Linked DNA regions of Callithrix jacchus. The main gene of each other region encodes a partner of the protein of the gene in region 2 in a complex. Links are inferred from orthologs where the notes say so. Each region holds a gene or a part of one and is shown on either strand. Other genes may lie near its edges.

What was found. The genes of interacting proteins can lie anywhere in the genome.
Region 1: GTF2E2 (region 2) and POLR2D share a complex: the UniProt entries of both Homo sapiens proteins name them as parts of the TBP-based Pol II pre-initiation complex. The link is inferred for Callithrix jacchus from reciprocal best matches to the Homo sapiens genes GTF2E2 and POLR2D.

Annotation. Positions count from the first base shown.
Region 1 is NC_133507.1:36,569,517-36,574,586, reverse strand, and holds the end of POLR2D (DNA-directed RNA polymerase II subunit RPB4), read right to left. Parts: intron 4,632-5,070; coding exon 4,536-4,631; intron 2,144-4,535; coding exon 2,065-2,143; 3' UTR 1,296-2,064; downstream 1-1,295. UniProt on the Homo sapiens protein: Core component of RNA polymerase II (Pol II), a DNA-dependent RNA polymerase which synthesizes mRNA precursors and many functional non-coding RNAs using the four ribonucleoside triphosphates as substrates.
Region 2 is NC_133514.1:31,763,516-31,768,306, reverse strand, and holds part of GTF2E2 (transcription initiation factor IIE subunit beta), read left to right. Parts: intron 1-4,205; coding exon 4,206-4,313; intron 4,314-4,791. UniProt on the Homo sapiens protein: Recruits TFIIH to the initiation complex and stimulates the RNA polymerase II C-terminal domain kinase and DNA-dependent ATPase activities of TFIIH. Both TFIIH and TFIIE are required for promoter clearance by RNA polymerase.

The DNA.
Region 1 (5,070 bases), on a different chromosome or scaffold from region 2:
ACTCCAGCCTGGGCAACAGACCCAGATTCTGTCTCAAAAGAGAAAAAAAGGAAAGAAATCAGTTTTCAGAAACTGTATTTATAAAAATGTTTTTATTTTTGCCTTATCTAGTAGCAAACATAAAACTATGCTGACTATAAAAGCCAACACTATTCTTTCTCCTTTTTCCTTGGACCCCAAGTTCATATACAGTCAAGCAAATGCCCCAAAGAAAAATCCCAGAATTCAAGAGGTGTCTTTCCTTCAGAAAAATCAAAGCTAGAATGTTTAGCTATTAAAGTGTTTCCCCCCAGACTGAGATCAAGTGACTTCATTGCAGTGGCTCAAGAGTAGCTGACTCCCTCCTTCCAAATCAGCCCATCATAGAACACCTATTGCTAAGTAGCAAGCCAGAGGCTTAGATTGGAGACTTCAAAGTCTTCAGAACTTCAAGCCTGGCCTATGAAGCAAAAATTTTTTTAAGTACAACTGCAATTTTATTTTTCTCCAAAGAATAGTTTTTCTTCAGTCCTTCAGAACTCCGCTCCTTACATGGGCTTTGGTGGGGGTCAGGGGCAGCACCTGCAGGTCTACATTGGTGGAGGTGTTTGGTCCTTGCGGGTTTCATGAGCTTGATTCCTGACTACCGGGCTATGAATGGCACAACTCACACAGTTGTGTAATCTCACATTCAGCCTATGAAGTACACAGGCGTCAAGGACGCCCGCTTCAGAAACATTGCTAATTGCTGCAGCCTCTACATGTCAAATGATATATTTCTTAAAAGCCTTGTCATTGGGCACACAATGGGCATAGTTCATGCAGCAAATAGGTTGGAGTGCACAGCGTACACCTGGCTGCAGCCCTCTTTGGCATGACCACTGTTTCTTCTTTTCTTTGTTATGTTTGAGGTACAGGCCCAAGAAAGATGAAGTAGAATCTTAATTTGAGGGTGACTAAATGAGTCCTTCAAGACCACTTGCCCCAAATCCACATTCTGCAAGACAGTTCAAGAAAAAAGGCAAAGTAGCCATCTCGCTCAAGGCTATGGGCTCCACAATACTTAGCACAGTTGTCCCCAAGTGTAAACACTTCCCATGGCATGCTTCTTCCCTGTCCCCTAGGTTAGGCACAATAATACCAGGGCATTCTGTCATGAACACTCTCATCTTTTAAGGTGGTGCACACCTGTGGCCCCAGCTATTTGGGAGGCTGAGGCAGGGGGTCAAGGCTGCAGTGAGCTGCGACTATACCACTGCACTCCTCTAGCCTGGGCAAGAGTTAAGACCCTAATTCCATTAAGACAAAAACAGGCATTTCAAACAATAACAGCGGTTTAATTATTCCTTTTGCATCTATGTAAAACAGGTCTTTCTCTATAAAGTCTACTATGCTCTGGTCTAGTTTCAAAAAGTATAAACATACTGAAATTAAAACGTGAAATATTGGCCGGGCGGTGGCTCAAGCCTGTAATCCCAGCACTTTGGGAGGCCAAGGCAGGCGGATCACAAGGTCAAGAGATCGAGACCATCCTGGCCAACATGGTGAAACCCCATCTTACTAAAAATACAAAAATTAGCTGGGTGTGGTGGCATGCACCTGTAGTCCCAGCTACTCGGGAGGCTGAGGCAAGAGAATTGCTTGAACCTGGAGGTGGAGGTTGCAGTGAGCCGAGATTGTGCCACTGCATTCCACCCTGGCACCCGGCGACAGAGTAAGACTCCGTCTCAAAAAAAAAAAAAAAAAAGGGAAATATTAAGAAAAGATGACGTGGAGGCCAAAAACCATGAATGAGGTAGTCAATAGTGTGGCTTATGTGACACACCCACCTCACACTTCCCAGAGGCACATTCAGGAAAGCCACTAGCAGCCACTGCACAAGGCTGCTCCAAGATTACCTGTCACCTGGACCTATGAGTTATTTGAAACAGCAACCTAACCCAATGCCAAGCTGGGCTATTTTCTCCAAAGGAATTCTCAACTGTCTTCTGCAGTAGAATTTCTGTGCAAGTCAGCCCCAGCCCCTGGGAAGGTGGTGGTACGCCTGGGGACATGGTTTCTCTGAGAAGCAGTGACATCTGGAGATTAATACTGAAAGCTGCGCTTCGTCTGGATATCGTCAAGAATCTGCTGCAGCTCCTCATCTTCAAACCGCCCCTCCAAGCTACAACAAGAAAACCGAAAGAATGAGTGACTTGGCAACTGGCAATTTCCTCACACTCTTCTTTGAGGCGTGATAATCTGCCTATATCTCTAACACCTTTACCTTTCATCTGTATTTCTTTTCCACTTTTCCTGAAAAAACATTACAAAATATTTCCAACATGTAAAAGATAAAAGCTATAAAAAATAAACCTTTACAGTTAGCCCCACTTGACTTAGAGTGTTTTTTTTTTGAGATGGAGTCTCGCTCTGTCACTCAAGCTGTAGTGCAATGGCGTGATCTCTGCTCACTGCAACCTCTGCCTCCCAGGTTCAGGCAATTCTTAAGAGTTATTTTATTTATTTATTTTTAAATTTTTATTTATTTTTTGAGAGGGAGTTTCACTCGTCCCCCAGCCTGGAATGCAGTGGCGTGATCTTGGCTCACCGAAACCTCCCCTTCTGGGTTCAAGTGATTTTCCTACCTCAGCCTATTGAGTAGCTGGGATTACAGAAAACCGCCACCACGCCCAGCTAATTTTTATGATTTTAGTAGAGACAGGGTTTTACCCTGTTGGCCAGGCTGGTATGAAAGTCCTGACCTCAGGTGATCTGCTCGCCTCAGCCTCCCAAAGTGCTAAGATGGCAGGCGTGAGCCACCCCGCCTGGCCAGAGTTCTTTAACAAGCAGGAAAAGTCGTTGGCTATGTATACTACCCTAGACCTATACCTTCCCTTCTCCCCCAGGAATAACCACAATTTATCATTGCCTTACATTTAAATTTTTACTTGCCACATATATATTTATATTTACTACACATTTATGGATATATAATATGCAGTAGCTTCAAACTTTATAAGAAATGGCATTGGCTGGGTGCGGTAGCTCACGCCTATAATCCTAGCACTTTGGGAGGCCGAGGTGGGTAGATCACAAGGTCAAGAGATCGAGACCATCCTGGTCAACAAGGTAAAACCCCGTTTCTACTAAAAATACAAAAATTAGCTGGGCATGCTGGTGCATGCCTGTAGTCGCAGCTACTCGGGAGGCTGAGGCAGGAGAATTGCCTGAACCCAGGAGGCAGAGGTTGCGGTGAGCCGAGATTGTGCCATTGCACTCCAGTCTGGGTAACTACAGCAAAACTCCGTCTCAAAAAAAAAAAGAAAAGAAAAGAAATGGCACTATACTGTATTTATCCTTCTGCAATTTTTTTTCCTCAAAATTCATTCTGGCATGTGTTGATATTATTCCATGTTGTTCTAGTGCATTTTTTTCACTGCTGTACAATAAACACTGTTATGACTATACAATGATTCATTTATGCATTTTCTTATTGATCAAGAGATTATCAAATTTCTGCTATCATTAACAATGCAGCATAAGGCTGGGCGCCATGGCTTATGCCTGTAATCCCAGCACTTCGAGAGGCCAAAACAGGCAGATCACCTGAGACCAAGAGTTTGAGATCAGCCCGGCCAACATGGCAAAACCCCATGTCTACTTAAAAAAAATGCAGCAATGAACACTGGAATATACATATCCTTGTAAACTTGTGTGAGTTACCTTTAGGATATGTACCCAGGCAGCTTGGCCAAGATGGTGAAACCCCCATCTCTACTAAAAATGCAAAAACTAGACAGGTGTGGTGGCAGGCACCTGTAATCCCAGTTACTCAGGAGACTGAGGCAGGAGAATCACTGGAACCCCGGAGGTAGAGGTTAAAGTGAGCTGAGATTGCACCACTGCACTCCAGCCTGGGTGACAGAGTGAGACTCTGTCTAAAAAAAAAAAAAGATACATACCCAGGAATGGATTTTTGGAACATGGAGTACATTCGTCTTTACTAGACATAGCCAAATTGCTCTCCAAAATGGTTGTTCTAATTAATGCTCCTACCATCAGTATACGGAAGTCCAGCTGTTCCTCATTTTTACTATCACTTGGTATCACTCTCACTGTTAAAACGGCACTTTAATTCAATATTGGCAATTATGTATGCAAATATAAAATGCTTATGCATTTTATTATTTTTTTTAATTTTTATTTTTTGAGACGGAGTTTCGCTGTTGTTACCCAGACTGGAGTACAATAGCATAATCTCAGCTCACCGCAACCTCCACCTTCTGGGTTCAAGCAATTCTCCTGCCTCAGCCTCCTGAGTAGATGGGACTACAGGTGCGCACCACCATGCCCAGCTAATTTTTGTATTTTTAGTAGAGACGGGATTTCACCTCCTTGACCAGGATGGTCTTGATCTCTTGACCTCGTGATCCACCCACCTCAGCCTCCCAAAGTGCTGGGATTATAGGCGTGAGCCACCACGCCCGAGAAAATGCATAAACATTTTAGATACACCAATTATATTTGCAGAAATTTATCCAGTATACAGAGAACTGATTACAACTGGTACTAACCTTGGGATTAAAGCCTTGGACTCCTCAGCAGTCTCTGGGCAAAGGTTGGCCAAACAGGCCAACTCAAACTTATGAAGCTTTTTCTGGAGTAGCAAGCTGATCAACAGGGGAAAAAAAAAATACCGAAACAAATTAAAACCAAATAAACAACAAAAATCAAATAATAATCAACAGGAAAAAAGGGATCAAATGTAGCTAGCATTTAAAAATAGCTAGACGGCTGGGTGTAGTGGCTCACGCCTATAATTCCAGCACTTTGAGAAGCCAAGGTGGGCGGATCACTTGAATGAGGAGTTCGAGACCAGCCTGAGCACCATGGCAATACCCCATCTCTACTAAAAATACAAAAATTAGCCGGGTGTGGTGATATGTGTCTGTAGTCCCAGCTACTTGGGAGGCTGAGGCATGAGAATCGCTTGAACCTGTGAGGCGGAGGTTGCAGCGAGCCGAGATTGCACCACTGCACTCCAATCTGGGTGATGAAGTAAGATTCTGTCTCAAAAATGTAAAAAGGTAGAGGAGGCTGGGCATAGTG
Region 2 (4,791 bases):
GGGTTACAGGCACCTGCTACTATGCCCAGTTAATTTTTGTGTTTTTAGTAGACACGGGTTTTCACCATATTGGTCAGGCTGGTCTTGAACTGCCGACCTCAGGTGATCCACCTTCCTTGGCCTCCCACAATGTTGGGATTACAGGCATGAGCCACCATGCCAGGCCTGTAGTTCATTTCTTATGGCTTTGTAAAAGCATTCTACAGTATCTGCATTTGAAAAGTCTTAAAAAAAAAAATTCACCACAATCCATCTAATAGGAGGCCAATCCCACTGTGTTGCAGAATCCTGAAAGTGAAGGAATGAGCAAGGCCACGCCTGCTGGCCCTTTGTCATGTGGGATTCCCAGTTCTGCCTGAGGATTCCATCATACATGTCACAATCAGAAACGTGGATGCCTTGATGTGAAGTGAAGGAGCCGCTCTTGTCAGTTCCTATATTCACTATTAGTTAGTGAAGCATAATTTTTTTTTTTTTCTGAGACAAAGTCTTGCTCTGTTGCCCAGGCTGGAGTGCAGTGGCATGATCTTGGCTCACTGCAACCTCCTCCTCCTAGGTTCAAGCAAGTCTCCTGCCTCAGCCTCCTGAGTAGTTGGGACTACGGTGTACACCACCATGCCCAGCTAATTTTTTTTTTTTTTGAGATGGAGTTTCGCTCTTGTTACCCAGGCTGGAGTGCAATGGTGCGATCTCGGCTCACCACAGCCTCTGCCTCCTGGATTCAGGCAATTATCCAGCCTCAGCCTCCCGAGTAGCTGGGATTACAGGCACGCGCCACCGTGCCCAGCTAATTTTTTGTATTTTTGGTAGAGATGGACGGGGTTTCATTATGTTGGCCAGGCTGGTCTTGAACTCCTGACCTCGTAATCTGCCTGCCTCAGCCTCCAAAAGTGCTGGGATTACAGGTGTGAGCCACTGGGCCCAGCCTAGTAAAGTATAATTTTTAAATGGAAATTAAAAACAATGTGACAAACATTCTAAAGCATTATCCCAAGGTACCCAGTTTTGTGCCCCTAGGTTGTGTACGCCCCACATAGGAAAGCACTGTGCTGTACCGTAGCTGCCTGGCATTTCTCTATATTCTAGTTATGTCATCATTCAAGGTCTGTTTAGTTTTCTCTTTCATTTCTTCTGATTGAAGATGTCTTCTTGACAGATAGCTGTATACCTAGCTTTTTTTCTTTTCTTTTCTTTTTTTTTGAGGCAGAATCTGCCTCTGTCACTCAGGCTGGAGTGCAGTGGCATGACCACAGCTCACTGTAGCCTCTGCCTCCTGTGTTCAAGCAGTCATTCCACCTCAGCCTCCCAAGTAACTGGGACTACAAGTGCATGCCACCACACCTGATTAATTTTTGTATAGATGAATATTTTTTGGTAGAGTTGGAGTTTTACAGAGTTGTCCAGACTGGTCTCAGTCTCCTGGGTTCAAGCGATCTGCCCACTTTGACATTCTTCCAATTTGCTGAGATTCAGGTGTAAGCCACTGTGCCCAGCCATATCTAACTTTGGTAGCTTGTATGTTTAGCTTCTCCCGTCTATTGGGAGCTCTTAAAGGCAGTAGTAGTTTGCATTTTATCATATGTCGCATTGCAATACTCTCAGCACATAGTAGTTACCAGTAAATTTGAATGAATAAGTGAATGAATTCACAGCAAATGCTCAATGAATGGTTCTTGTGCATGGTGTGTTAGCTTTATGTTTCCATCTGCTGTCTGTACCTTTTAGTTGGGAGAAGTGGTTATTATTCGTTTTCCAGGGCCTGACTGAAGCCCAGTGACGTTCAGTAACCTGCTCACTGTCAGGAAACTTGGAGTGTAGATGATTTTTTTTCTGTTGAAGAGTGATTTTTGTTTTGAATAAATAACATATCTCTTTGTACAAAAAGTAACGTTATATAATGACGAATAATGAAGAGGTCTTGTTCTCACCTCTCATCCTACTCATTTTCACCCCTCTTGTGCTTCCTACAGGTAGCCTCTTTTATTAGTTTCTTGTGACTTTTTTAGTGGTTCTCTATGCGGAAATAAAGCTCAAATGTATACTTATTTCTGCTCTTCCCTATATACAAGGGTTTATACTGCATATGTTTTTTAACATATATACTTTTTTCTTATTTACTTTAAAAATATTTTAGTTTTTAAAGCAGTTTTAGGTTCACAGCAAAATTAAGTGGAAAGTAGAGAATTCTCATCCATTCTCTGCCCATTCCCCCACAGCTTCCTCCACTGTCAACATCCTGCACCAGAAGAGTACATTTGGGACAACTGATGAATCCACATTGACAAATTACCCTTCAAAGTCCATAGTTGACATGAGTTCACTCTTAGTGATATTCTTTCTGTGGGTTTGTACAAATGACCTGTGTCTACCACTATAGTATGCTACTAAGCATTTTCACTGCCCTAAAAAACCTCAGGGCTCTGCCTATTCCTCCTTCCCTCCCCCCAACCCTTGGCAGCTACTAAACTTTTTATTGTCTCCATGGTTTTGCCTTTTTGACATTGTCAATAGTTGGAACCATACCGTATGTAGCCTTTTAGACTGGCTACTTTGCTTTAGTAATATGTATTTAAGGTTTCTCCATGGTTTTTCATACCTTGATAGCTCATTTCTTTGTAGCACTTGGTAGTATTCCATTGGCTGTGAATACCACAGTTTATTTACCCACTCACCTACTGAAGGACATCGTGGTGGCTTTCAGCTTTTGGCAGTTATGGTTGGCAGTTATGGATAAAGCTGTAATAAGCAACCTTCGGGAATTTTTGTATGCACATAAATTTTTGGCTCATTTGAGTAAATGCCAAAGATCATGATTGCTGGATTAATTGAATGGTAAGAGTGTTTAGTGTAAGAAACGGCTGAACTGTCTTCTGCAGTGTACCGTTTCACACACCAGCAATGAATGAGAGTTCCTGTTTGCATCCTCTCTAGCTTTTGGTATCTACGTGCGTGTGTGCGCGTTTTCATTGGATAGACATGATACATGTTTTTTAACGTATTAAATTTGTCCTGGACATCTTTTCAATTTAGCACATAGAGAACTTTTACATTTACTTTGTGAACATCTGTATAGTAGGATGAATGTGTTGTGGTTAATCGTCTTCTAATTATGTGCGCTTGGGTTATTTCTAGTATTTTCCTTTTAAACAATGCTACAGTAACCATAAGTCACTTTCCTATGTGGTGCTGCTATATCTGTAGGGTGAGTTTCTAGATATAAGACGGCTTGGTGAACGTTGAGTGTCTTTTCATATGTTTAAGGTCATTTTTAGTAATCTGTGTGTTTCTGTCTTTGGGCTATTTTCTCTTAGCTTTTTTTTTTTGAGACGGAGTCTGGCACTGTCACCCAGGCTGTAGTGCAGTGGCACGATATCGGCTCACTGCAGTCTCCACCTCCTGGGTTCAATCAATTCTGCCTCAGCCTCCTGAGTAGCTGGGACTACAGGTCTGTACCACCATGCCCAGCTAATTTGTTTTGTATTTTTAGTAGAGATGGGGTTTCACCATGTTGGTCAGGCTGGTCTTGAACTCCCAACCTCAGGTGATCCACCCAAAGTGCTGGGATTACAGGCGTGAGCCACTGCGCCCAGCCTTTTTTTTTTTTTTTTTTTTTTTTTTTACATAGAGCCTTGCTCTGTCCCCCAGTCTGGAGTGCAGTGGCATGATCTCAGCTCACTGCAGCCTCCTCCTCCCAGGTTCAAGCGGTCCTCTTGCCTCAGCCTCCCGAGTAGCTGGGATTACAAGCATGCACCACTATGTGCAGCTAATGTGTTTTGTATTTTTAGTAGAGATGGGGTTTCACTGTGTTGGCCAGGCTGGTCTCAAACACCTGACCTCAAGTGATTCCCCTGCCTCAAGCCTCCCAAAGTATAATCCCAAAGTGTTGGATTACAGCTGTGAGCCACCATGCCTGGACTAATTTGTTAGGTTTTTGACGTTCTTGAAATGTTAGGCAGATTAGTTCTTTGTGATATGAATTGCATATTTTTGTCAGTTTATCATTTTATTTTATAGAGCAGTGAGTCTCAATCCAGTACTGATTTCAGAGTCTTGTGTTCTTCATCAGTATGATTATACTACCTGGAATAATACATGTTTTTCATTCCTGAAGAGATTTATGTATGAAAAGATTTATGTACATGTAACTATGATTTAAGGCATTTAGCATTTTAAAACTATGTTCTAACAATTTTTTCACTCAATAGACACGGCATCAGCGAGGAGATACGCATCCTCTAACCTTAGATGAAATTTTGGATGAAACACAGCATTTAGATATTGGACTCAAGCAGAAACAATGGCTAATGACTGAGGTAAGAAAAGGCTGAAAACATTGTTAAAATTTATTTGATTATTGAGAGAGATTTCCTGTCACTAGAATTTTTTTTTTTTTTTTTTTAGACAGAGTCTTGCTCTGTTGCACAGGCTGGAGTGCAGTGGTGCGATCTCAGCTCACTGCAGCCTCAGCCTCCCGAGTAGTTGGGACTGCAGGCATGCGCCATGACGCCAGGCTAATTTTTGTATTTTTAGTAGAGACAGGATTTCACCATGTTGGCCAGGCTGGTCTTGAGCCCTTAAGTGATCAGTCTTTCAAAGTGCTGGGGTTACAGGCATGAGCCACTGGGCCTTGTCTAGAATGTTTTTAATATGATGAAATCTGATAATGGTTTTTACTTTTTCTTAAAAGAAATCTTGTAGGGTTGTTTTTTAGATGTATGCATTTATAATACTGATTTGTTGGTTTTCACGTACTTTTATGTATGTATTTATTTCATAATGTTAAAGGTAAAC